Linked DNA regions of Alligator mississippiensis. The protein of the gene in region 2 binds, or shares a complex with, the protein of the main gene of each other region. Links are inferred from orthologs where the notes say so. Each region holds a gene or a part of one and is shown on either strand. Other genes may lie near its edges.

The links.
Region 1: the proteins of UPF3B (region 2) and UPF2 are in contact, whole or in part, in a crystal structure (PDB 7NWU), measured with the Homo sapiens proteins. The link is inferred for Alligator mississippiensis from reciprocal best matches to the Homo sapiens genes UPF3B and UPF2. Residues at the interface, in NP_542199.1 of Homo sapiens: Lys52, Arg56, Arg57, Tyr79, Glu81, Phe83, Asn85, Asp86, Thr87, Ser88, Leu89, Tyr90, His92, Tyr94, Arg96, Tyr98, Ile130, Glu132, Pro135, Phe136, Lys138, Ala139, Ala140, Arg147, Asp148, Lys150, Val151, Gly152, Thr153, Ile154; in NP_056357.1 of Homo sapiens: Lys767, Arg768, Pro769, Pro770, Leu771, Glu773, Tyr774, Lys777, Lys790, Arg793, Gln794, Arg796, Lys797, Leu798, Pro799, Trp800, Gln801, Cys811, Ile814, Asn815, Trp817, Tyr837, Gln838, Glu839, Asp840, Ile843, His844, Val846, Asp847, Gly848.
Region 3: UPF3B (region 2) and CASC3 share a complex: the UniProt entries of both Homo sapiens proteins name them as parts of the mRNA splicing-dependent exon junction complex. The link is inferred for Alligator mississippiensis from reciprocal best matches to the Homo sapiens genes UPF3B and CASC3.

Annotation. Positions count from the first base shown.
Region 1 is NC_081827.1:13,570,539-13,578,169, reverse strand, and holds the start of UPF2 (regulator of nonsense transcripts 2), read left to right. Parts: upstream 1-4,616; 5' UTR 4,617-4,771; intron 4,772-7,631. Other genes in the region: DHTKD1 (2-oxoadipate dehydrogenase complex component E1), read right to left, coding at 1,297-1,508, 2,427-2,582, 4,234-4,387. UniProt on the Homo sapiens protein: Involved in nonsense-mediated decay (NMD) of mRNAs containing premature stop codons by associating with the nuclear exon junction complex (EJC).
Region 2 is NC_081831.1:72,549,856-72,557,577, forward strand, and holds the start of UPF3B (regulator of nonsense transcripts 3B), read left to right. Parts: upstream 1-4,709; coding exon 4,710-4,865; intron 4,866-6,227; coding exon 6,228-6,334; intron 6,335-6,517; coding exon 6,518-6,624; intron 6,625-7,338; coding exon 7,339-7,437; intron 7,438-7,722. Other genes in the region: putative defense protein 3, read left to right, coding at 1-35, 673-737, 1,857-1,954; NDUFA1 (NADH dehydrogenase [ubiquinone] 1 alpha subcomplex subunit 1), read right to left, coding at 4,137-4,157, 4,250-4,339, 4,431-4,532. UniProt on the Homo sapiens protein: Involved in nonsense-mediated decay (NMD) of mRNAs containing premature stop codons by associating with the nuclear exon junction complex (EJC) and serving as link between the EJC core and NMD machinery.
Region 3 is NC_081827.1:164,600,485-164,608,501, forward strand, and holds the start of CASC3 (protein CASC3), read right to left. Parts: upstream 3,016-8,017; 5' UTR 2,992-3,015; coding exon 2,758-2,991; intron 1-2,757. UniProt on the Homo sapiens protein: Required for pre-mRNA splicing as component of the spliceosome. Core component of the splicing-dependent multiprotein exon junction complex (EJC) deposited at splice junctions on mRNAs.

The sequences.
Region 1 (7,631 bases), on a different chromosome or scaffold from region 2:
CCTCAGCTCTCTCCACTGCCTCATGCCTTGGGGCAAAAGCAGGAAACAGCAGCCAGAGAAAGGAGTGGGAAGCCTGGAAAGACTTGCTATTGCAGCCAGAATGATGGTGAGGGGAGGAGTAGCAGTTGAGTAAATGCCTGGGGGGGGCACATTAACCCCTCATGGGCTTCACGTGGCCCACAGGCTGACACTGGGACAGACATGAATTGAATTAAATTAAATAAACCAGGTAGCACTAATGACTTGCCAAGCAGAAGGGTGAGGTTTAACAATCCCTATCCAAACAGCTGGAGACAGGGACACCTTCATGTAACCTGCTCTTGTGCCCTTGATCCACGCTGAACAAAACAAAAGACAGTGCAACAAAACAAAACCACCCACAAAAATTTACAATATGAAAAATATTTGGCTGGTGTCCCGTAGTACAGCCAGCCCACACACTCAGTCAGGGAGCGTTTCACTGCCCTACACAGGGAACGAGGCAAGAATGACTTTGCCAAATGCTCTGCCAGCACTAGGTGTGTAGGCAGCTCCTCGGGACAACACTGCCAGAACCCTGATCTCACTCCCATTCGCCCCTCTAAACAAAGGCAGGTTTCCTTCCTTCCCAAACTGATCCCTATTGAAAGGGACTAGGACTAGAAGGTGACAAGGAGTCAGAGAATGACTGAAAACAGAAGCAGAAGCTGAGAAGGAAATACAGAGCAGTGCAACAGCATCACATACGTCTTAAGTTCCTTTGAGGGCAATGCCCAGTTGTTTCTGCAGCCTCCACGTCTAATACAAAAACATCGGGCCAGCAACTTTGGAGTATTTCCTCTTTTTTCAGAATATTCACAAGTTGCCCTACTGGCTTTCCTAGAATGTCAAATGTTTTGCAGAACGTCGCCTAAAAGCACTGCATGCTGGGTTTCTTTTTTAAAATATGCTGTGCTATGCCATTCCCTCTTCTGGTTGAAGAGACCCCTTTGGTTTGTCACTGCCCCGAAATATTTTCCCCTGCTAAAAAACACTTTCTGAAACACTCAACTCGTAGCTGCAGAGCCTTGCGGTTTCTTTGAGGAATCCCTGTTCTTGTGCCTTCTGCAATTGTCTCCAGTTAGAATTATTTCATTTCTGTGCTACAACCTTCAGACAAAACCCGTATCTTGGCAATCAGAAATAAATGCATGTAGATCATAACCTTTTTTGGACCAAAGGCTTCTTTTTCCCCTTTTGATCTGGTGTTTGGACAATGGACATTCTAGTCCATGGCTAGATCGCTATGTACCAATGCCATAAAGACATGCAGCGTACCTGGGACTCCAACATCAACTTGGACAAATGCTTTTTCTCTTCGGTTGTAAATGCTTCTTGTTTTAGCTCCTCAAACCTTTTAGCAAACCAGTGTCTCTCCTCTGGGCTTGGCAGCTGGCTCGTCTCTATAGAAATGTGCCCGCAGTATACGTGATCAAGGTAAGCCAGCACATCCTCTAGGGACACTTCTTCCTTCCCCATGTTCAGAAGTCCTGGTCAAAAAGAGATTGGAAGGCCCATAGGGATTAGCCACTCTAATGGCTAGCAGTCTAAGGACACTGCTAACTAGGAACTACAGTTTGAAAGCACAGTTTCACTTTCTGCCCCTCTGTTCTTCATTTGAAGCCCAAGGTCTCAAGAAACTTCAGAATTACCATTCCTAATACTTGGGACTTAGATGGTACTTTTCATTCTCCTTTGCAGTGTTTGAAATATTACTCCAAACTCTTCCAGGGCAGGGTCTGGGTTTTGGCATCTTGTGTTTGTACTGTACCGAGCATTGTGAAGCTCAGAGATGATCAAGGTCCTTTGACATTCATTTGTATTGTGCAATGCTAATTTCCCAGATGGACAGACAAGACATGCAGAAGTTCTGGGAGTTGCTCAAGACCATGTTAAGTTAGTGGACAGAGCTAGGAATAGAAGTCAGATCTCATGACTTCCACTCCAGTACCGCAGTCACTGCTGTAATACTGTACTATCATTAAGTAACCTGGGTAGCTATCTGAACAGTTACAGGGAATACTTACGTGATTTCAGGAAACATGATAACCTAAGTTTGCAGATGTCATAGACAGAATAAAAGAATGTAAATAGTGTAAAATCAGTCAAGAGAAATTATTTTTCATTTGGCATTACATCACTGAACAGCTACCTAACACATGGCTATGCCATTCAGGACAGAGCACGTAATCAGTCTGTTGTGGTGAGATTGCTATATTACCTCATGCTCATTTAGCAGCAGAGAAGAGAAAATTCAATGGTTTTATTTGACAGATTTCAAACATAACTCAAGTGAGCTGGGCACTGGAACCTGTCTACCCACACAATGCTGTGCCCCATGAAGATACCCGACCTAACTTGGGACACTGCATTATGCTGGGGAGACGTGCTCTGTGGTACAGACTTACCTGTGATGTTGAAAGGCCCTTGAAGAACTTCCAACAGCATTCGAATTTCAGGTACCATATCCAACACCGCTTGACCAGCAAACAAAGGGTTAATTTTGGCGGCTTTGTGGCCGTGCTCATGGTACGCCCCTACTAAACGGGCAAGACCGTGGTCAACTAAAGGTACAAAAGGGAAAAAAACAGAGAACGCTGTTAGCACGTACACTCTTCACTCATTCACCCTTGAGACGATGCTGCATCTTCCCCCACTGACATGCATCCAAAATGCCAAGATCACTTCCTGAGCTCAGCTCTTTAACCCATATCACTATTCTTCATTCACCCCCTCCACTTCTTCCCCATAGACACACACTTATGGCTTGTCTTCGCTTTCAAGGTGCTTCACAACCTGTCTTCACCCCATCTATCCTCTCCCATTGAATATGGAGAAGGTGACTCCCGCCTCCACCCGCCTCACTGTGCTCACCTCGCATGCCCAACTCAATAGATTTCCATGCTTTATCACATAGTACACCAAAGGGGGACTCCCATTAAATATCTGAAAAGCCACCTTGTTCCCTTATTTCAAATCTCTCCAGCTATGATGAGCACAAGAAACTCAACATGAGACCCCTGATGCGCAGTGACCCCTGCCCATCATGCTGAGCAGTACCACCTCACTGCTCCCAGCGGCTGCCTGCATCCCTCTGTCGTCCCCTGTAAACTTTCTGAGGCCGGGACCATACGGCTGCATGTTTCCTAACACCAGTCCCCACAGAAGCACCTTCTAGAGCAGGGGTAGGCAACCCCTGGCACGGGCACCAGAGTGTGGCATGCAAAGGCATTTTGCTTAGCACGTGCACCTCAGGGCAGAGAGTGGGGAAGGAGCCAGGGCTGCGCTGCCACAAGTGGACATAGTCATCTGCTTGCATTCTCCATCTGGGGACAGAGATATGCCTGTACCCTCTGGGCCATGTCTCTCCAGCCCTACGCAAATGTGACTGGCTGGGGGCTGTGAAGGGTAGACATAGATGAACCACCCAGGGTGAGGAGTTAATCACCTCACTTGCACAATCCCTCTCACTCCGCACGTGTTGCATGACTACATCACCCCAGCACTTAGCTCCGGGATCACCACCAAGGGGGACCCAAGCTGCAGCCAGCCCACGCGTCTCCAAGACGCTGCTTAGGGTTTTGCTTTGTTTTGAAGTCCCAAGCACCAGGGGCAGAGGAAACCTCAGGGGCCTGTGCTCTTCTGGCAGCAAATCATCACAGATTCACAGAAGTTTAGAGCTAGAAGGGACCTTGTGAGCTCATCCTGCTCTGGGCAGGAAAGACTGCTGGGGTCAAATAACCCCCGCCGGAGCAGCTGTGCTTGCAGTGGGGCCTGGCAACCCCGTCTGGTGCCCAGCGCATATCAGTCTGATGTCTGTCCCTGCCACCGGTCCAGCTGCAGCAGAGCCTCTCACAGCCCCCCGCCTTCTGCCCCGGGCACGCCAGCGTCCTACAAGTCCAAGCTGCAGGTGTTTTAGGCACTCTGCCCAAAAACGTTGCTGAGCTCAGCCACCTTATCCCTTCCCCGGGGCAACAGGTGCCAGGCACCCCGGCTCCGCGTGGAGGTCAGGGCTCAGCCCAGCTGGCCCCGGCCATCACCCACCAGCCACTCCGGGGCTTTGGACTTTGAACCCTGATGTCACCAGCCATGCTGCGCACCCAGACCCCCATCACCAAGGCAGCCGGGACGCACTGACCCCCCCACCCCGGCAGACACACAGACCCAGACCCCCCCCAGACAGACAGACAGGCAGACCCCCCCAGACAGACGGACCGGCCCCTGTCGCCCTATCTGGGCGGGCGGCGCGGGCGCTGTCGGGGCGGCGCGGGCGGTAGCCGTAGACGCCGCGCTCGGTGCGGTAGCAGCGCCCCGGGGCCCCCAGCGCCGCGCGCCACGGCCCGGCCCGACCCGCCGCCGCCAGGGCCATCGCGCTGCGCTCCGCTCCGCTCCGCTCCACGCCGCCAGAGGGCGGGGCCGGACAACGCCCCCAGCTCGGATTGGACCGCCCGCTCGGGGGCGGGGCCGAGCGGGGCGGCCCCGCCCCCTGCTGGGGGAGACGGCGGGCGGGCGGGCGGGCGAGGAGACGTGGGGTGTCGCCCCCTCCCTGCGCTGGGCCAAATAAACAGTGATTTGAGGACCAGGTTGCAAGGGTTTGGGCGTGAGGTGGGGCCTTGCTAGGCTCAGTCAACTGCTGGTTTATATGGAAACCACCTGAAATGTATCATCACCCCGACAGGCCAAGATGAGGAGAAAACGTACCTGGTTAGTCAGCTGTGGGAAACGTAGCCCAGAACTATAGGTTAGCCCTCAGGTGAGGTGAAGTAACAACAAAAGGTCTGTTTTGTAGCATCCGAGCTTTCCTCGGCTTTGGCTTCTTCCCCCTTGGTGCGCGCGCTGGGCGGGATGATGTCTTGAGGACCGTATCCTTTCTACTGGGCTGAATAGTGGTGCCGGGATGAAGTAAGCCAAGACAATCCAATTGTTGCATCTAAAACTGATGGTAATTTGGGGCCAGGAGGCGATGCTCCTGGGTTTCTGGCACATCGCACGTCCCCTTTATATTTCTCCATCTGTAAAATTCGGATAATTTGTCCTCGATGCTGCCTTGCTTGTGTTCGCCCCTACTCTGATAGCGGTATAGCTGCTGAGAGATTTGTCCGCTGTATTTGCGGCGAGAACGCTAGGTGATTGATTATCTGTTGTCTCCCTCCGCTTTTTGAGCAGGTACTTTGCTGCTTTCTCTTCTTCCTATTAATTTCCAGGTGTTTTTGGTATCCACTTTAAGTGGAAATGGATTATTTAAACAACTCCTAGTCTCAGTGATGACTTCTAAAATGTACTTGAAATGTTTAAAAATGATAGATGCCAAATGATAGATGCCATTTTCTTAATTAAGAATGTTTCATCCAACATGAACAATTCTATTTTGACACGCGTCTGCACAGATGAATGGAAGTGGTCAGAGAATTCACAGTTAATGGCTATTTAGGTGCAAGCGATCATTGCTTTATTCCATTTATTATGCATAATCATAATAAATACCCAACCAGCAAGGTATATACTTGGTGCTTCAAAAAGGCAAATATCACCCATTTGAAAACAATTTTGAACTAGATGAGCCATGAACAAGAATTTGAACAGAAAAACTTGACCGATCGTTTAAAATGAAGAACTAGATGTCCAGTAGTTACAATCCAGAAAGAATGCTATGCTCATTAAAACATGCCTGACTTACAGGGAAAAGAAATAGAAAAACAAGGCAAAGTTTTCTCTCTGATTTTGTAAAATGCATTTTCTATTTTTATGAGATTACAAGTTTGTTTAATGAACTTTACATGTACTCAGGCCAGTTCCATACGACAAGGTTTTCCTGGCACAGAAATGTTGCACGAAACTAAAAGTTACATCTCCTAATTGATAAAACTAAGTCAGTAAAACCCTTGATACAGATGTAACTATGCCTACAAAAGAGTGCTTATCTTGGCTTGGCTTATTTTATGTACACAGGAAGAAGGTATAGATATGTTAGCAGAAAACCTCTGTGTCCTCAAGGTGGCTCTGCAGACAGAGCTATGCTGGCACAGCTGTAGAGGCGGAAGCTCTTTAAGTACAGAGAAGCCCTTAAAGTTTTGTAGGGCATTTGACTTGGTAACGCATGACATTTTTCTTTAAGAAACCAGAGCACTACAAAATCAATGTGGCGCATATTACATTGATTAAAAATGGCTAACTAGTTATTCTCAAAAATAAAATTAAATCATCAGGTGGGTGTATTCCTGATGAAGGCTTGCACAGATGAGATTTTGGCTAACTAATATTTTATCACTAACTGGGAAGGAAACATAAAATAATTACTAATAAAGTTGAAGTGAGTGGTAAAGAATGAAAAGGACAGGTCACCCTGGATCTGGATCTCTTGCCATGCTGGATGCAAGCAAACAATATTAACAGAGTCAAATGTCAGATCAGGCACCTAGGAACAGAGAGCTCAAGTCAGAAAAGTGGGAAGATCCTAGCTTTATCCTAAGAAGCAGTGGCTCTGAAAAGGACTTGGGTGTTACAATAGATAATCAGCTGAACAAGAACCCTTTGTAGTATGTTTTTGATAAAAAGGCTATGCATTTTGTGTGTACACGAGAATATAGAATAGGAGGGGAAGGTTACAGTAGCTCTGTATTTGGCAGTGGGGGTGTCTCTTGGTGGCGTCTCCTGAGACCAGATCTTGTGTTTACACTTCAAGAAGGGCATTGAAAAATTGGAGACTATTCAGAGGAGACCCACAAGGATGATTAGATGATTAAATATACTTTCTGGTGAGAAACTAAAAAAGAGCTTGATTTATGCAGTTTCTGAAAGGGAAAGTTATGACTTGATCACAATACATACAGCACCTGCATTGAAACAAAGGACTGCAAGGACTTTCTAGAGCAGAGACCAGTCCCTGTGTTTGCAGGCAACCATTTATCAAAAATGGACACTTCTGCCCTTCTTACACACCACAAGAACCCTATGAAATAAAAAGTAACAACAGACCCAAGTAAAGAGCAGGAGAGACAAAGGAACCACCCTGATACTGCATTGGCAGAAAATTAGTTGGGTAAAAAGATGCTCAGATGATCCTCTCAAAAGGTTCAAGGCCTGCGCCACAGACAAGGGCAGGAGAACCACAGTGGTCCTGGCCAATCTGACCTGGGAGAAAATTGCTGCCTGCCCCCAAATCTGGCAATATTTGACTCATGCATGATCCAGGCACATCAAATAGACACTTAAAGGCTTATAAATACTCCTAGTTTCTGGAGCACCAGATCACCCTAGCCAGATCCTCACCCTTTGCAGTGGCCCAGGTGCAGTGCTTCAGAGGAAGACAAATAAACTAGTAGAAGCTAGTAACGTGTTCATAGGGAAAAAAGTTCCTCTTGGCTCCCAGCCATCAACCAGCAGAAGCCTTAAGTCCAGGGGCAGGCAAGATATGGCCCACGGGCCAGATCTGGGAGCACAGAGCCTGCCCGGCCCAATGGCACATAGACTGGGAATTTATCTTGAGTTATTACAATCACCTCTATACACACGATGCAAACATGTGCAAGTCAGGACAAAAATATTTTTCAAAATAAAATTAAAATGTGTTATGGTAGATGTTTGAGTTTTAGTATATGGTGTGGGGTTTTTTC
Region 2 (7,722 bases):
CTGAGCTCAGGCTGCCCTCCATTCATTGCATTCATGTAAGTGGATTTTCTGTTATTCCCCCACCTGCAGAGTCCCCTCCTCTTCAAGCAAGCAGCTCAAGCATATATTTTTCCCCTTTCTGTATCTGTACAGTACCAACATCTCCACCTTTTATGACCACATTAAAGTAGGATTTTCAAAAGCACCTAAGTGATTCCAGGGGACAAGTTCCATTGATTTCCAGGGGCTTCTGCACCCAGTCATTTAAGTGCTTTTGAAAATTCCACTAACATGAGAGGAACAATTAGCAATGGGGTCCCCAGAAAAGCAACAGCTGTACATGACTAAGACTGATTAATTCCCTGAGAGTTACAAGAGACTGAAGTAAAAGAACCTGCTATACTGCTAAAGGAAACAGCAAAAGATCCTGGAAAAAAACTGTATCCTGACCTCTTCTGGGGAAAGAAAAATCTTCAGCTATCAGACTGACACAGCTCCTTTCTGTATGTGTGCAATGGAGTGGATTTATTTTCCTATGAGGTTAGGCATATGCTACTACCTGCTAATGAATTTATGATGAAACACAGGCTGCTATGCAGAGCATCTCCAATAACTATAGGAATATTTTTGTAAAGCTGGGAAGGGGTCTTTCCCATTTGTAGTCATTGCTTTACGCTTTTTCCTTTTGAACAGAGCAACTGTGGCACACTCTCGTGAAACCTATTGGCTCAATATCAAATCCAAAATACTATGGAGAGGTGAGTAATTACTGAACATGTCATTACAACGTAGGGCAAATGTCCATTACCACAAAAAGGAGTTATATAGGCATTAAGCAGCACTGGTGTATCAGAAATATAGGGGATACTAGTATTCTATGTGCATGTCTTCTTTGAAATTGTTTTAATCATTCCCCCCCTTCATTACCTCATAGTCAAGCTGTATGTATTTAGCTCTTTTTATTCCTCTTCCTGACCTATATACTTCTGCCCCCAATATCCTTCCAGTTGTATTAGCATGATATCCAGACCTCTGTGTAACATTCCAGGTATCCTACGAGGGCATGATCCACTTGTTATTGATTTGCCACTGAGCAAATGTGATACTGAGCAAATGTGAGTTTTGCAGACAAAAAACAAACAGATTAGTTACCACATTAAGAGGCAACTCTCCAGCTCCAAGTGATAGGGATTGAAAAGGAAATTTTTGCATTAACTCCCACTGATGTTATATACCACAGGTATATCCCCAACTCAACAGAAGAGCAGCCCCTACTTTTGTTTCTGACTAGTCAGAAAACTTTCATAACCATGCTGAAGGCTAAATGATGCATTTTAATCTCTTGGCAATGTTGTTCTAGGACAGAGGTTCCCAAACTTTTTCTTACTGTGTACCTCTTTCCAGATTTATCAGCTGCCTGTGTACCCCCGCCAGCATGTTTTATATTTTAACACCTTAAAATGCCAGTTATTATTACAGTGAAAATTAAAACCGCCATTACCCTCCCCCAAGATGTCTTGCATACCCCCATGGGTATGTGTACCACAGCTTGTGAACCCCTGATCTAGGACAAGTCACACAAACTTTCTGCGGTTTCATCTGTCTCTTAGGTGCCCATACCTGCATCACCATTCTTTGCAAAAAATATCTTGTGAATGCAAAGGATCATTTCAAAGTTCATTGTGTTCTGTCCACTGCTTACTTTCTTTGCCAGACGAAGTGCAGGGATTACTGACCGAGAAGCAACTCAGGATTAACAGGAAAAGAAAAAACCTCCCCAAAGGTTCATATTAATTGCTTTGCCATGGTCTCCTCAATGATATATCCAAAACTAGTTATAAATTGAAATTAATTTCCATTTCTTCTCCAACGTACAGATCCTACAGCAACATGTGGCACTGAGAAGTTTACATGGACAGCTACCACTGTGATAGGCTTACTTTTCCACCTGCTGCTTTTGCTTAGCTGCATTTAGTAACCCGTGAAAATTAAGAGTATATCTACAACAGCTAAGGACTGTCACTGTTATTGGTAGCTAATTTTAATTGTATCTATAATAAATACAACTTTTAAGGCCTCAGCTACATGTAAAAGTTGTACCACAGCTCTATTATAGAATCTCCTGCTGTGGACTTGTTTAACTTTCTCCATGTTCACCCTAGGAACAGCATAGTGCTATGTGAAAGAATGTTATATCAGCATAACTGCATCCACACTAGGTGCTGTACCAGTATAACTGTGTTGGTTAAACCCACCACCAAAATAATTATAACAATAAATAACCAGCGTGTAAACTAGATCTACGATTAAGGTGGAGTGGTAAAAAGCCCTAGTGAAATTTCCAAGCATCCAGGAATCAGGCTTGCTAAGAAATAAAATCAATAGAGTGATTTTTAACTTCATTCTAACCGAGAATAATAAATGTTACAAGATCACCACTTTCTGTCTGTGAGCAGAATGTGTGTGTCTGAGCAGATGAATGCTAAGAGTATCGCTACACTGCTGTATGCTTTTTTGTTTAAAAAAAAAAAAAAGGGGGGGGGGGCTTGAAACAAGACATGTTAGAGATGTAATGCAGGAAGATACCTGTTGTAATAAGACAAATAAACATCAGTTGTATTGCCTAGGTCAGGGTCACCAACCCCTGGCGTATGTGCCAGAGCATGGTATGCGAGGCCATTTTGTTAGGCATACCACAGCCAGCCCAGGCTCTGTGCAGCTGCAGCTGACCATGTTGCAGCCAGGAGGCTGTGAACAGCTGCACTGGGCTCTGGAGCCCTGGGCAGCCTCTGTGGCGGGTGCACACAAACCTCAAGGTAGATAGTGGGGGAGGGGCCTGGGGCAGCACAATCCTGGCCCTTCCACCACTAGTGATGGTGCCCTGCAACCCAGTGCAGTTGTCTGTAGCCTGCCCACCAGCTGCTGCAGCTGCCTTGAGCCTAGAGCTCTGCCACTCGCCTAGAGGCGCATGTGCACCAGCCACTGCCATGTAGCCCGGTGCAGCTGGTTGCAGCCCTCCTCCAGCCTGGACTCTGGGCAGCTGCAGTAGGCAATGGGCAATTTCCAAACAGCCGTGCTGTGCTCCTGAGCACCGGCACCGGCTCCATGCTGACGGCAACTGCACACATACCTAGGGGCACAGGGTGGGGAAGGGGCCAGGGCAGTGTAACCCTGGCCCCTCCTCTGCCGTCTGCCCGGAGGTACACACGCAGCCACCGCCAGCAATAAGGATCGGGCCCCTCACAACTCCCCCACAGTCTGCTCCTGGCATGCCAACTCAAGGCATGGGTCTGGGGTGGGGTGTTTTTGGCATTATGGCCAAAGACGCTGCTGCCCCCTGACCTAGACTGTGCTATACTCCCACTTTTGTTCCTCAGTTTTGTGCAGGCTAGTAATACACATTCACATTAGTAAGCTTATACTCCAGAATTTCTCAGAGGTGTAATCATTTCATTTATTCAACTAAAACAAGCAATGCCTTCACTGCTGCAGGATGCACACTCCAACTTCTCCTTTTCAATATGGAGGACCTACAATTGCTTAGATTGTACTTGGCGATTAATGTACAAATCAGAAGCCAATATCTGTAACAAGTCAAAAGTCTTGGCTTTTATCAGCATTGCAGCATCAACAAAGCTTGTTTTTTGGGGGTTTTTTTTCAGTTAACATTGGTTTAATAGCCTGTTAAAAGTGTGGCAAAAAATAATTAGTTAGTGTATGCCTATATCTCTTCCTTAGCAATCTTATCCTCCACTAACGTGTGGCAAACATGTCATACATTCATAGATAAGGCTGGAAGGGACCTCAGAAGATTATGGGGTCCAGCCCCCTGCACCAAGCAGGAGAGACAACGGGGCGAGGTGACCCCAGCAAGGTGACGGTCTCAGTCTCCTCTTGAAAGAGGAGTCAGCTAAAACAACGTTTACAACACGAACTCCCTAGTCTTCCGCAAGACCTCGCACACCTACTCTGCAAGGCGTATGAGCCGACGCGATATTCCCACCGCCTCTTTTGAAAACATCACGGCCACAAGCGCAAAGACCGATCCCCGCCCACCGGTCTGCGTACAACATATAAAACACACCGCCTCACGTAGACATGCGTGTTTATTAGAACGATACTGCTTTTTACGGTTTTTCTGTCAAGAAGCTCACTTCTTAGTCGATGTTCTCCAAGCCCTGCAACGCAGAAGAAAATAAGTGAAGTCTCTGATGACACGTCCCCCCCGCCCCCGGGGAGCAGTTTGGCAGGGGTGACGAGGAGCACTTGCCTTGCTGCGGTGGTATATGTTCACGCCCGACACGAAGCGGTCCCGCTCCATCAGCGTCCACTGGAAGTGGTTCCGCGCCGCCCGCTTCTCCTGCGCACGCAGAGGGCAGGGGTGAGGCGCGCCGCCCGCCCAGCCCCAGCCCCAGCCCCAGGCCCAGCCCCAGCCCCGCCTCCAGCCCCACCTTGCCGCCGTTGGAGTAGCGGTAGAAGTAGGTGAGTGAGATGCCGGGCACCACCAGGCACAGCCACGTCATGCCAGCGAAGGGCAGGATCTCGTACCACATCGCTGCGCCGCCCTTGTCACCGCCACCAGCACCAGCGCCAGCGCCGCCACCCCACCATGCACCGCGCGACCCAGCAGGCCCCGCGCGGGGCAGCCCGATTGGCTCCGCCGAGCTGCAGCGCCGCGCTGCATGCCGGGACCCCTCCCTCGGGGAATCCCGCGAGAGCGGCGGCGGCCAATGGGCGTGCGGGGGCGTGGCCGAGCCGGCGGGATGAAGGAGGACAAGGAGAACACCAGGCCCAAGGAGAAGCGCGGGGTGCCCGCGCCGCCCCCCGCACCGCCCCCCGCGCCCGACGCCGACCGGCCCAAGGACAAGAAGGAGACGCTCAGCAAGGTGCGGCCGGCACCCGCCCCCCCCCCCCCCCCACAGGGCCCGCTCCGCAGTCGGGCGGCTCTGCCCGCAGCTGGCCGGGCTTCATGGCGTGTCACCGGCGTCATGTGTGCGGCCGGCTGCGTTTCTTGCGCGTGTCATTCCGGTCTCCGTTCATCGCATGCTTTTGCCGGGGGTGTGCAGGGCGTGTGGCCGGGCTGTGTTGATCCCGCGCTTCCCCAGGGACTTGCGTGACGTAGCGGTGGAGCGCAGGTGCGAAGGTCCCGGGTGCTGAGTGGGAAGGTCCTCGAGCCCCGCGGCCGGGAGCCGGGAGCGACAGCAGCAGTGGAACGAGCCCTGGTCGGGCCGGTTGCTCTGCCTTTCAGCATTCGCTCTCTGCACCCGTGTGACGCAGACCTGCGTGTTGTGTTGCTGGGCAGGGATGGGTAACATGGCGGATCTGGGCCCTCTGCCTGCATGGCTGGGGCTGGTCCCCATGGAGACCCCAGCCATTGTGACAGCACAAGGCTGGGGTTGCCATGGAGACCAGCCTCAGCCACACTGGCAGGGGGCAGGGCAGGGCAGGGGGCTGCTCTGGAGCTGCTGGGATCTTGTGGCCAGGGCGGTTTGGTCCGGGGCCAGGGCAGAGCTGCGATCTGCCATCTACATGCTCTGGGTGGAGATGTGCAGGCGGCAGATTGTGGCTCTGCCCCGGCTCGGGACGTGGCTGTCACTGTTGCAAGGAGCCAATACAGAGCCGCAATCCACAGCCTGCGCACCCCTACCTGAAGCATGCAAGTGGCAGCTGGCCCCGGGCCAAGCTGCCCCCACTGCAGGATCCCAGCAGCTTTGGAGCAGCCCCCTGCCCTGCTCTGCCGGGTGCCCTGCCAGCTCAGCTGGGGCTGGTCTTCATGGCAACTCCAGCCTTGCACTATCATAGTCAGCAGCTGGAGTCTTTGCCCCAGCGGTGTGGGCAGGGGCTGCTGGGAAATGGAGTCCACTGCCAGCTGGGTCTGGCCCACAGGCCAGACTTTGTCTGCCCCTGGCCTAGGCCCACCAAGTCTTATTATAAGCCTGCCAGAAGAGTGAGGCCACTATTGGGTGTGACACAGGAGTCTGGGCAAGAGGGACCTATGGTCTGATCCAGGAAATGTCAGTTCTTATGATTTAATGTGTGGCAGGGGCCTCAGTTATGGATGTGGCCCAAGGCTGCTGCTGCAGGGCATTTCCCCCAAGCCTTGCGTAGACCACAGGTCTGTTATCGTGCAACGTCTCGGGTAATGAGCTCAGTGGAAACGGAGGGGAGATGACATTATCTTCTTACCCTGTCTCTTTTGTTTCTATCTCTTCCCACCCTCACCCCCCTCCCCGGCATCACTGGGTCAGGTTGTAATTCGGCGCTTGCCTCCCAGTCTGACCAAGGAGCAGCTCGAGGAACATCTTCAGCCTCTGCCTGAACATGACTATTTTGAATTCTTTGCCAATGATTCCAGGTGCATAAAGTTTGGGTTTGAGGTGGGAGGTTTTTGGGTTTGTTTGGAGGAGGGTGTTTAGCACATGACTCCACTGTGTTGGAATGGACCGTAAGCGTATACTTGTAGTTCCTATAACTAGACTAATCAGCAATTCTATCCAGCTTAGTTTCCCCTTATGTTGCTTGTTTTTGTCTCTTGCAGTTTGTATCCTCACATGTTTTCCCGAGCCTACATCAACTTTAAAAACCAAGAAGACATAGTACTATTCAGGGATCGTTTTGACGGTTATGTTTTTGTTGATCACAAAGGCAAGTACTCAAAATGTGGTTATATACTTAGTATCTTTTGACTTGTATATCAGTAGCCTTAGGTGAAACATAGTTATGCTGAGGTAAAAGGGGAAAGAGATTATTTACTTTGTATCGTTTCCTTTACAGTAGTTCCTGCCTGGTCATTCTTACCCTGCAGCAAATGAAAGCTTAATTATTGTGCTTTAATCCTTTCATGGGTCTAAACATCACTTTTGAAATGCATACGTATTCTGTGGCTTTGAACCCCAGTAATTCATGTAATCTTTTTGCAGTAATATATTGAATCTATGCATCTTAATATGCTTGCCATTCAGAAGAAACCTTGAAAAAAGATTCTGGCTATTATGCATGGATGTTACATTCTACTGGATATTATCAAGATTAGGGATTTTTTTTTTCCCCAGTTACTTTTAAAATCACCTTCTATTCACACAATGAATGAAGCAGGGGAAGTGTACAGGGGGAAATGGGGCATGACCATAACGCATAAATATAAAATGTAATGGGCATCCTTACTACTAACACTTCTGAGTGCTAGTCTTTGTAAATTTAGCATTCATTTAATGCTGTTTTTCAATGTATTCTGTTTATAGTCTGTAAATGAAATATCTAGTTAGATGTTCTAGGGTTGCCTGTTTCTTGTAAGCATCTGTCCTAATGTAAAATAGTGGCAGACATTTAAGTTATTGTGTATTTTGTTCTGTATAACAGGTCAGGAATATGCTGCCATAGTGGAATTTGCACCATTCCAAAAAGCTGCAAAAAAGAAGAGTAAGAAAAAGGATGCCAAAACTGGGACTATTGACGATGGTATAACAGCTAGAGTTGTTTGTTTGTATGTGTTTATATCCATCAGCTTATACATGAGGCAGAACCATCTTACAGCAAAAATGTGAATGTTTTTTCCACAAGTTACATATCATACTTGTTAAGTTTAAAGTTTGCAGGCATTCTTTTGTGATGCTAATGTTACATAGTAAAAAAACATTCTCCAAAATGTCTTCAAAAGTATTATTGTGGTGCCTCATGGCTGCAATTAAAGGTCATGATCCCTTTGTATTAAACACTATGCAGGCAGGCAGTGAAAAGATGGTG
Region 3 (8,017 bases), on a different chromosome or scaffold from region 2:
AACTGTTTGCGGTCTTGCTTATTGGACATGATCCTGCAAGACAACTAGGTAAATATCCAGCTAGTGGTAGAGAGAAACTTGTGCTCATGGTACAGGTCAGCACCTTCGAAAAGGGAGGCATAAGAAAGGTATACAGAAAGCTAAATTCAGATCAGTAAGAAAAACACATAAATCTATGACTGTACAGTATTAATCCCCCAAACACTTACAACACTAAGGGAGCTTCAACTCCCCAATACATTAAAAAAAATTCTGTAAAGAGGAGGAATTTGCCTCTACAGACAGAAAGGATGGACTCCCTTAATCAATATAGACCACCTGTTCAGAAAATGATATGGAGGATTATTTAAAAACTGGGAGCTGTGGAAAAGCCAACTGATACAGAGAAGCATGCAGCTGAGAGACACCTCTGCTGCAGAGGTCAATAATAGAAGTGTAACTTTGCATCTAGCACAGGAAGGGACAGAACTGGAGAAATTCAGACCAGAGGCAAAGTGCAGGGAAGAAAGAGTATCAGACTATGGAATTAAATAAAAATAGGTTTGTACTGAAAATAAAAACTGCCTGCATAATGAAGTAAAAACCAGGCACATCAGCAGCCCTGACAACAGAAGAGATACTTGAAACAAGAACTATTAAAATGCGGTGGACTAGCAAAGTGCAGTGGTAGTACAAGGCTCTCAGTTGCACAGGAAGGACAGCTGGCCTGGAGAGGTCGGAGCATAGCACCATCCCAAAGGAGCCCATCACATTCTACTGGAAAAGGGGAAGAGAAGCACAAGCCCCACCCCTACCTATTTTACCACTGGCCTCAGCCAGGAAAAGATACCACAATCACAAATAAGAAACGGCAAGTGTGTCAAAAGCAAAAAGCCAGAAGAACTAGCAGGTCCACTGAAAGCTCAAGAAAGGCAGAAGAGGTGTTTATAGCTAAGCCTCGTGGCCCCTGAAACCTATCAAACAACTTGGGATTCATGGGGCTGACAGGGGCTTTGAAGTCACAAGATTTAATTTCAATGCTATTTTGTTTGGCATTGATTTCTGACCAAATCAATCCCACCAGTCCCAACTGTTTCACAATTTTTAAATCATGAATTAAGGGTTAAGCAATATATTTAGCATCTGATCTATTGTCTTGATGCTCTGATGAAGACTTACTCACTTGCTACAGAATGTTAAAACAGCAGTAACCTAATCAAGCTGAAGTTATTAAATTAGAAGGCCAGCCCCAGGCCACCTCCTGAGCAACTTGCACATACAGATTCTTGTTGCCACAGCAGTAAGGGTGTGACTAAAAAAAGGATCATCTGTAGCTCTACTTTCTAGTTAGCCCAATAATTATTCTGACCATAATCTGCTATAATGGAGATATGCAAAAAGGGTCACTGGGCTCCTGTGACCTGTTAGTTCCTCCCTACCTGTTTAATAACCAGGGTTTAGTCATTTCTTTGGTGCCTGCAGACAGTCTGGAGCATACCACAGCAAATGCTAGACACAAATCTTAAGATAAAAACACTTTGGATTTCCCCTAGAACAAAGCCTTTTACTCTGGGATCCTACAGGACCATCATTCCACCCTAAGTACCTGTGAAGAATTGAGGTGGTATTTTTTCCTGAGGTCACCCGGGGCTAATTGAGTTAATCACCATTCAAGCCATACATCAATTTAATCTGGGACTGATTAGTCTGAGATCTGACTCCCATCAAAAAAGAGGTGGGACAATGATTTAATTTGAATAAACCACACTGTTCTGGGGCAAACTATTAATCTGGATATTTTCCAGGTACATATTCATTCATGGTAATAGAAAAGTAAGGCTGGAAGGGATCGCCAGAGGTCATTTAGTCCAGTGGTTCTCAACCGTCTTTGCACCAGGACTGATTTGTAAACATTGATGGTCAGTCCCAAAACAGTGCCCCTCACTCCGCACCCACTGCCTGCTACCCCCCCCAATGTGTGGGGCATGGGGGACCCCAAGCAGCCCAGACCTCTGCCACCCTGCAAAGGAAAAGCCACTGTTTCCCACGTTTTTCTCCTTTAAAGGAGAGTCCTTTTTTGCAGTTTGTTTGAGAAATGCTGATCTCCTCCCACACCCTGCCTGAGGCAGGATCACCCCTATCCAAACCATCATCTAAACGCTGCATAAGACCCAGGGTGCAACACTAGGAAAAAAAAACACCCTGTGTGAAGGAAGTATCCAACAACCAGCACAGCACTTAACCGAAAGTTACAATCTTTATAAATTCTCAGATGGGTAAATGGAATCTGCACATCGAGTGATAACACCAGACAGCCGCTAATGGATCTGCACATTGATGCCAGACGGAAGAAGAGAAGACACCAACCCAAGGCTTTTAAAGATCTGGGTAGACAAAGCCTTGGCTGGGATGATCTAGGTGGGGCTGGTCCTGCTCTGAGCAGGGGGCTGGACTAGATGTCTCCCAAGGTCCCTTCCAGGAAGAGTTTTCTATGGCTCAATGCCAAGGGGCTCGTCTGCAAAGGGCTGGGGTCTGCTGCAAAATAAACCTGCTCAACTCAAGAGGCATGAAGAAGAACACCTCTTCCCGTGGGACAGTGGGGGCTGATTCGAGCTTGCTGTCGGCTAGCAGGGACGTGCAGGCCTGGTCTGGGCCCCCTGCCTAGGCGGGGTCGGGGCTGGCACCATCTTGACGCCTGCGGCGATGCCGTGCTCGGCTCAGCGCCCCCGACAGCTCCGAGTCCCCCCGCGGTGACCACCCCCCCGCCGCCTCACTCACACACTCGGACTCGGGCGGGCTGTTGGCGGCGCCGGCCGCGCTGTCGGCCCCCCGGGTGCGGGCCGCGGGGGGGCCGGGCCCGGGGCCGGGGCTAGGGCCGGGGGCGGCGCGGTGCAGCGGGCAGGGGGAGGCGGAGCGGGCGGCGCTGCCCGCCGAGTCGGCGCTGTCGGACGCCGCCGAGTCGGAGTCGTCCTCGCTGTCCTGCGAGGCGCGCTGCCGCCGCCTGTCCGCCATCTTGCGGGCAGCCTGCCTGGCGCCGCGGGCGCGCGCGGGGGCAGACGGGTAGGCCCGCGGACTCCCGCTCCCGGCGTGCACCGCGACCACGCCCCCCCCCTCCTGCGCCTGCGCGGGGAAGGGGACGAGGCTTGGAAACTGCAGCTCAACGGCTTCCGGCCTACGCTATCCCAGGGCCCTTTGCGGCCAGACTCTGGTCACCCCCGCAATAGGGAGAAACCGGAAACCCGCCCCGACGTGCCCACGTGGCCTTTTACATCAGGGGCTCAGGAAGAGGCGGGGTATGATGCCATCACACTCCAGCTGAATGACGTCATCAGCCTACTTCGCTGTCCCCGGGAGGACTTGTCTCCTAACAGGGGTCCCTGGTTCTTGGCTCCCGCTCAGCAAACACGGGGGGGGCACCCAGCCACCCCCCCAGTAGTGGCACAGGCACACCCCTGTTCTTGCTGGGAAAAATCTTTCTGGGGGTTCATTCTACCAGAAATATTTCCCATATCAGTTCCTCGGTGACTTTCTAGGTTGTAATTATAATGTATTATTACCGCAAGATTTCAAGGCTGCTCAGTTTGCAGTTAAACAAAAACAAGGGAGATAGAAGCAGCTGTCACAATTACAGAGGTATTTCCCTGTTGAACATCCTCAGAAAAGTCACTGACATTATGGTACCCAAACTGCTGTCTCTAGGTGAAATAATAACCTGAAAGTCAGTGCAGTTTTCACTCCACCATTGATAACAATATTTTCAGTCAAGCAACTGCAGGACACGTGTAGAGAAAAACAACTACCACTGTACATAGCTTTCATCTCCCCAACAAAGGTCTTCGATAACAGTCAACAGACAGGGCCTTTTTACTGTTCTGAAGAAACTAGGTTGTTCCCCTAAGCTGTTGAACATCATTTGTTCTTTACATCAAGGTATGAAGGCAACTGTAGCGTATGAAAACAGAATCACACACCTTTGACGTCAACAACAGGGTGAAATGGCTGTTTTAGCCCCCATGTTCTTTAACATCTACTTTTCATTCCTGTTTCTTCATGCATTCAAGGACAGTGATGATGACATTTATCTTTGAACCAGACTAGAGGCTTGTTCAACATGTAAGGTGTAGAGCAAAAACCAAGGTGAAAGAGCTATTTCTTAAGAGATTTCCTGTTTGTGGATGATGCAGCCTTGGTTGCCTACAGTGAATCTTCCCTGCAAAAATCTCTTGGGCAGATTTTCTGAGTCATGCAGGAGCTTCAGGTTGAGACAATTAGTCTCACAAAACCTATCGTCATGTACCAAAGCCGGGGAAGAATTAATACCTAATATAACTCTGGGGGGTAAATCTCTTGGCGTCATCGACAGCTTTTGTTACTTGGGTTCTACAACCAACAGGAATTTTGACCTTCAGACTGAACAGAATCAGAAAAGCAGCTAAGAATTTTGGCCTATTACAGAAATGTGTGTGGAGTAACAGCAAAATGTCATCTAAGGTGAAGCTGCGAATCTACAAGGCTTGCATACTTGTCATCTCTGCTTTATGGTTCAGAAACAGACTACATATGCTAGGCACATCAAGAGACTGAACAGTTTCCATATGAGATGCTTACATAAGATCCTGAAAATAAAGTGGGAAGACAAAATACCAAACACAGAGGTGCTGGAGTGCATAGGACTGACACACTTAGAAACCACTATCAAGAAGAGAAGGTTGCGATGAGTCAGCCATGTCAGGAGAATGGGAGGAGACTATATCCCCAGGAATATTTTGTACTGTGAGATTCAAGATGGCTCTAGAAAGCAGGGTTGCCCTCTATGGCAGTACCCGGTGTGCAAAAATGCTATGAAGTCATTCAACGTTAATGCAGAAAGCTGGGAGAAGCGTGCAGAATCCTGTCCAATCTCGAGGGAACATCTGGCACTGGGTGCAGCACAACATAAAGTCACTTTGATCCAGAGGATGGAAGCAAAGCAAGAAAGGACGCAGTGTGCTATAAACCTGGACTCTAACTCAGACAACACGTGGATCTGTGAAACTTGTAACAAGCTGTGTTGTTCTCAAATTGGGCACAAGTAGATTCATCACACACCTAACTAGATCTCTTATGCAAACACCATGATCTAGAAGATCAACAGTTGCCTAGAATATTACTACTCATTTTTTTGCTTTCCTGGCCTATAATTTTCAGCCAGAAAAAGAGTACCTGCAGTTCCCACAGACATGGCAACTTTGGGCCAGTAGTGGGGGCCATGGTAGCTATCTTCCTCAGTCTCCAGTAAAGAGAGGCCTGAACAGGTATAGTGAAGCTATAGTTTAGGTGCCAGGGTAACTCCAAACAAGCCACACTGATGACACTGTTCCTGTGACATTATCTTCTGAACACACTTGTTTCCCTCCTCGTAAATCCAGGTAATCCTCCACCTCTTCAACAATAGGTCTTTATCTCTTGCCACATTCAGCATTTAAGTGCAGGAAGAGCAGCCCCTGAACAGCTGTTATCAACCAGCAGCAGCATCTCTCTGCCTTTTCACATGTCCCTTGCTTAAACTGTGTAAAAGAAGAAAAAAGAATGCATGTCATAGGCTTGATAAATTGTATGTGAAACAATATGCTAGGATATGCAGGCATACATTGACAAACCATCTAGATAACAGTGGTTAGAGACAAAGCAGGCCCCAGGAAAGCTTGGAAGTTAAACTGAAATAAAAACAGTTTCAGGAAACATTTTCTGTTTCTTAAATATTTGTTGTCTTTTAAAGAAAACTGGTTGTGGACTGCAGACTAATTTTAGAAATGTTCTTAATTTTTCTCCCTACACAAAAGGCAAGAAAAATAGCAAGCCAAAATAAGGGTTTGAGACAATCTGCCTTTCAACACATGCTAGGTTAAGATACCTTCTCACCCCCAATAGAAAAGTACAGCTGTCTGCCTCATGCATGTTTGCCGCTTTGGGAATAGTGTTACAAGCTTCAGAAATGTCTTTGCTTCTGTAACAAGTCTTGAATTATATACATGAAGAAAAAGGCAATCACCAGATTTATATTTTTTCTATTTTATTGTAAAAAAATTGGTTTCAATTCTTTAAACATACAAGCAGAATTGTTTAATACTCCCCATTAACACTGTTAAATCTAACAAACTGAAGCAGAAATTCAAAAAAAAATTAACAGCCACAATAGTTTTTATTTACAAATTGAACTTTTTATAAGATATTTACAAGACAACCATTTTACACATTAGAAATGGTATCAAAAGTATGCATTACAACAGACAACCATGTGTCAAATGGCCATAAAACAAGGCTGAAGAGTAAAGACAAGCTTTTAATTTTAATTTTTAAAAGGTTTTTAAGTTTTCTGACACTAGTTTAAAACTTGAATTAAAAAAAAAAGCAAGGTTTTAAACCAAAGAATAGTTCTAGGAGGGAAATTGCAGGGCTTTCTGTTGAGGATTGAATTTCACAGTGTTGTACCCCATATTGGGAGAAATAAGACTATCTTTCCACACTAACACTCAACTGCAAGTTTTGTTTTGTACTCCCCCACCCCAAAGCCTACTTCTGGCCCATCCCCACCCCTCCCTTTTGCTGATGAAAAGCCAATATATTAGTAAAAAGGACTGTTACAAAGCCTGGTTGCCTGTCTAAATGGCATGATGATGAAGAGTTTCAAAATGGCTTTGCACTGGGAAGTAAGGCCAGTTCAAGACTAGCAAATCAGAGCTGACTGTCACTGGAATTCAAAAAGGTGTTTTGCCCCCTGAAAAAAGCCACTAAGGCAAAGTATAACCAGAATACAAAACCTGCTCAATGCAGACCTGAAAAATGGACGTCATCAAGGAAAAGGGGGAGGGGGGGGGCAGCACACAGGGCAGGGCAGGGCTCCAGCTAGTATTTGCCTGTTTTACATTTTGGCTCCTAATTGCACAGGAATCCATTGAGGACACATGCTATCATGCTAAAAGCAGGACACTCAAGAACAGCCTTATTAAAAGGAAAAAAAAAAGGATGCAGTGTATAGCCCTATTTATGCAACCTCTGTAGCACCAGAGCCCATACCTCACAAGAGATTTTCCCCTCTAAAGGTGTTTTAGCCTCTCTTCCAGACTCCATGACTGCCTCAACTTCAGTATAAAAACGCAACTGTGTTAAGTTACAGATTCAGCCTCTCTTCCACATTGCATAATGATACCCCAGATATGGGGGGTTGGGGGAGGTGGGGGGAAGAAAAAAAGCAATGCCTTTTGTGTTTCTCTATTGTTTATCAAGTTGTTTGTGCCAAGCAGGAAAAAGAAGATCACTGTCTTTACACAACACTCAAAAGGAATCATTCAAGTGGGTCAACTTCTGTGGCCTGCTAACATCTTCAATACAAAGTTAACATTTTCACCCTTATACTAAAACTCCTCCCTGGACCCTTCCCCCAGCCACACGCCCTGCAGAGGTACCACTGCAACTCTCAATCAGACAGGTAAGTGCAGCAAAAGAGTAGGGGGAACATGGTCTTTCAAATCCAAAGAATCCGTTGCTCACTCACCCCATCTACATGGACTCTAGTTCACTTTGAAGCCTGAAAGGCCATGAAAGAACTCTGTCTTTGTAATTACAACAAACAGTAATAAATCAGGACTTCAGTAAGAGAGTTACTCAGACTAGGAGCTTTTGGCATCATCCATTAGTGTAAAAAACAGCAACGAAGGCTGGTTTCATAAAGGAAGGGAATCACTACAGCTAAAGCATAGGCACCATTCTAGTTGTCTCTAGCCAATCCAAGCTTCTTACAAAATACACAAATTGCCAGGCAGCGCTGTCCTTAAACATTTAAATAAAAATGAACCGAAATTGTGCGTATAGAATTCTATTTTCACAAAAAAGGCTTACAAACCCCCAGCCCCAACCCTCTTATATAGAAAAAAAATGACATTTGCTGGCAAAAAAGTCTGTAGAAGCATTTTCACACTGGTAACCCAGCTAGGAGGGTCTCACTAAGGAATATGCTAACCGATTTTTGACAAAGGTAACTAACTGTGTGTCTCATGGC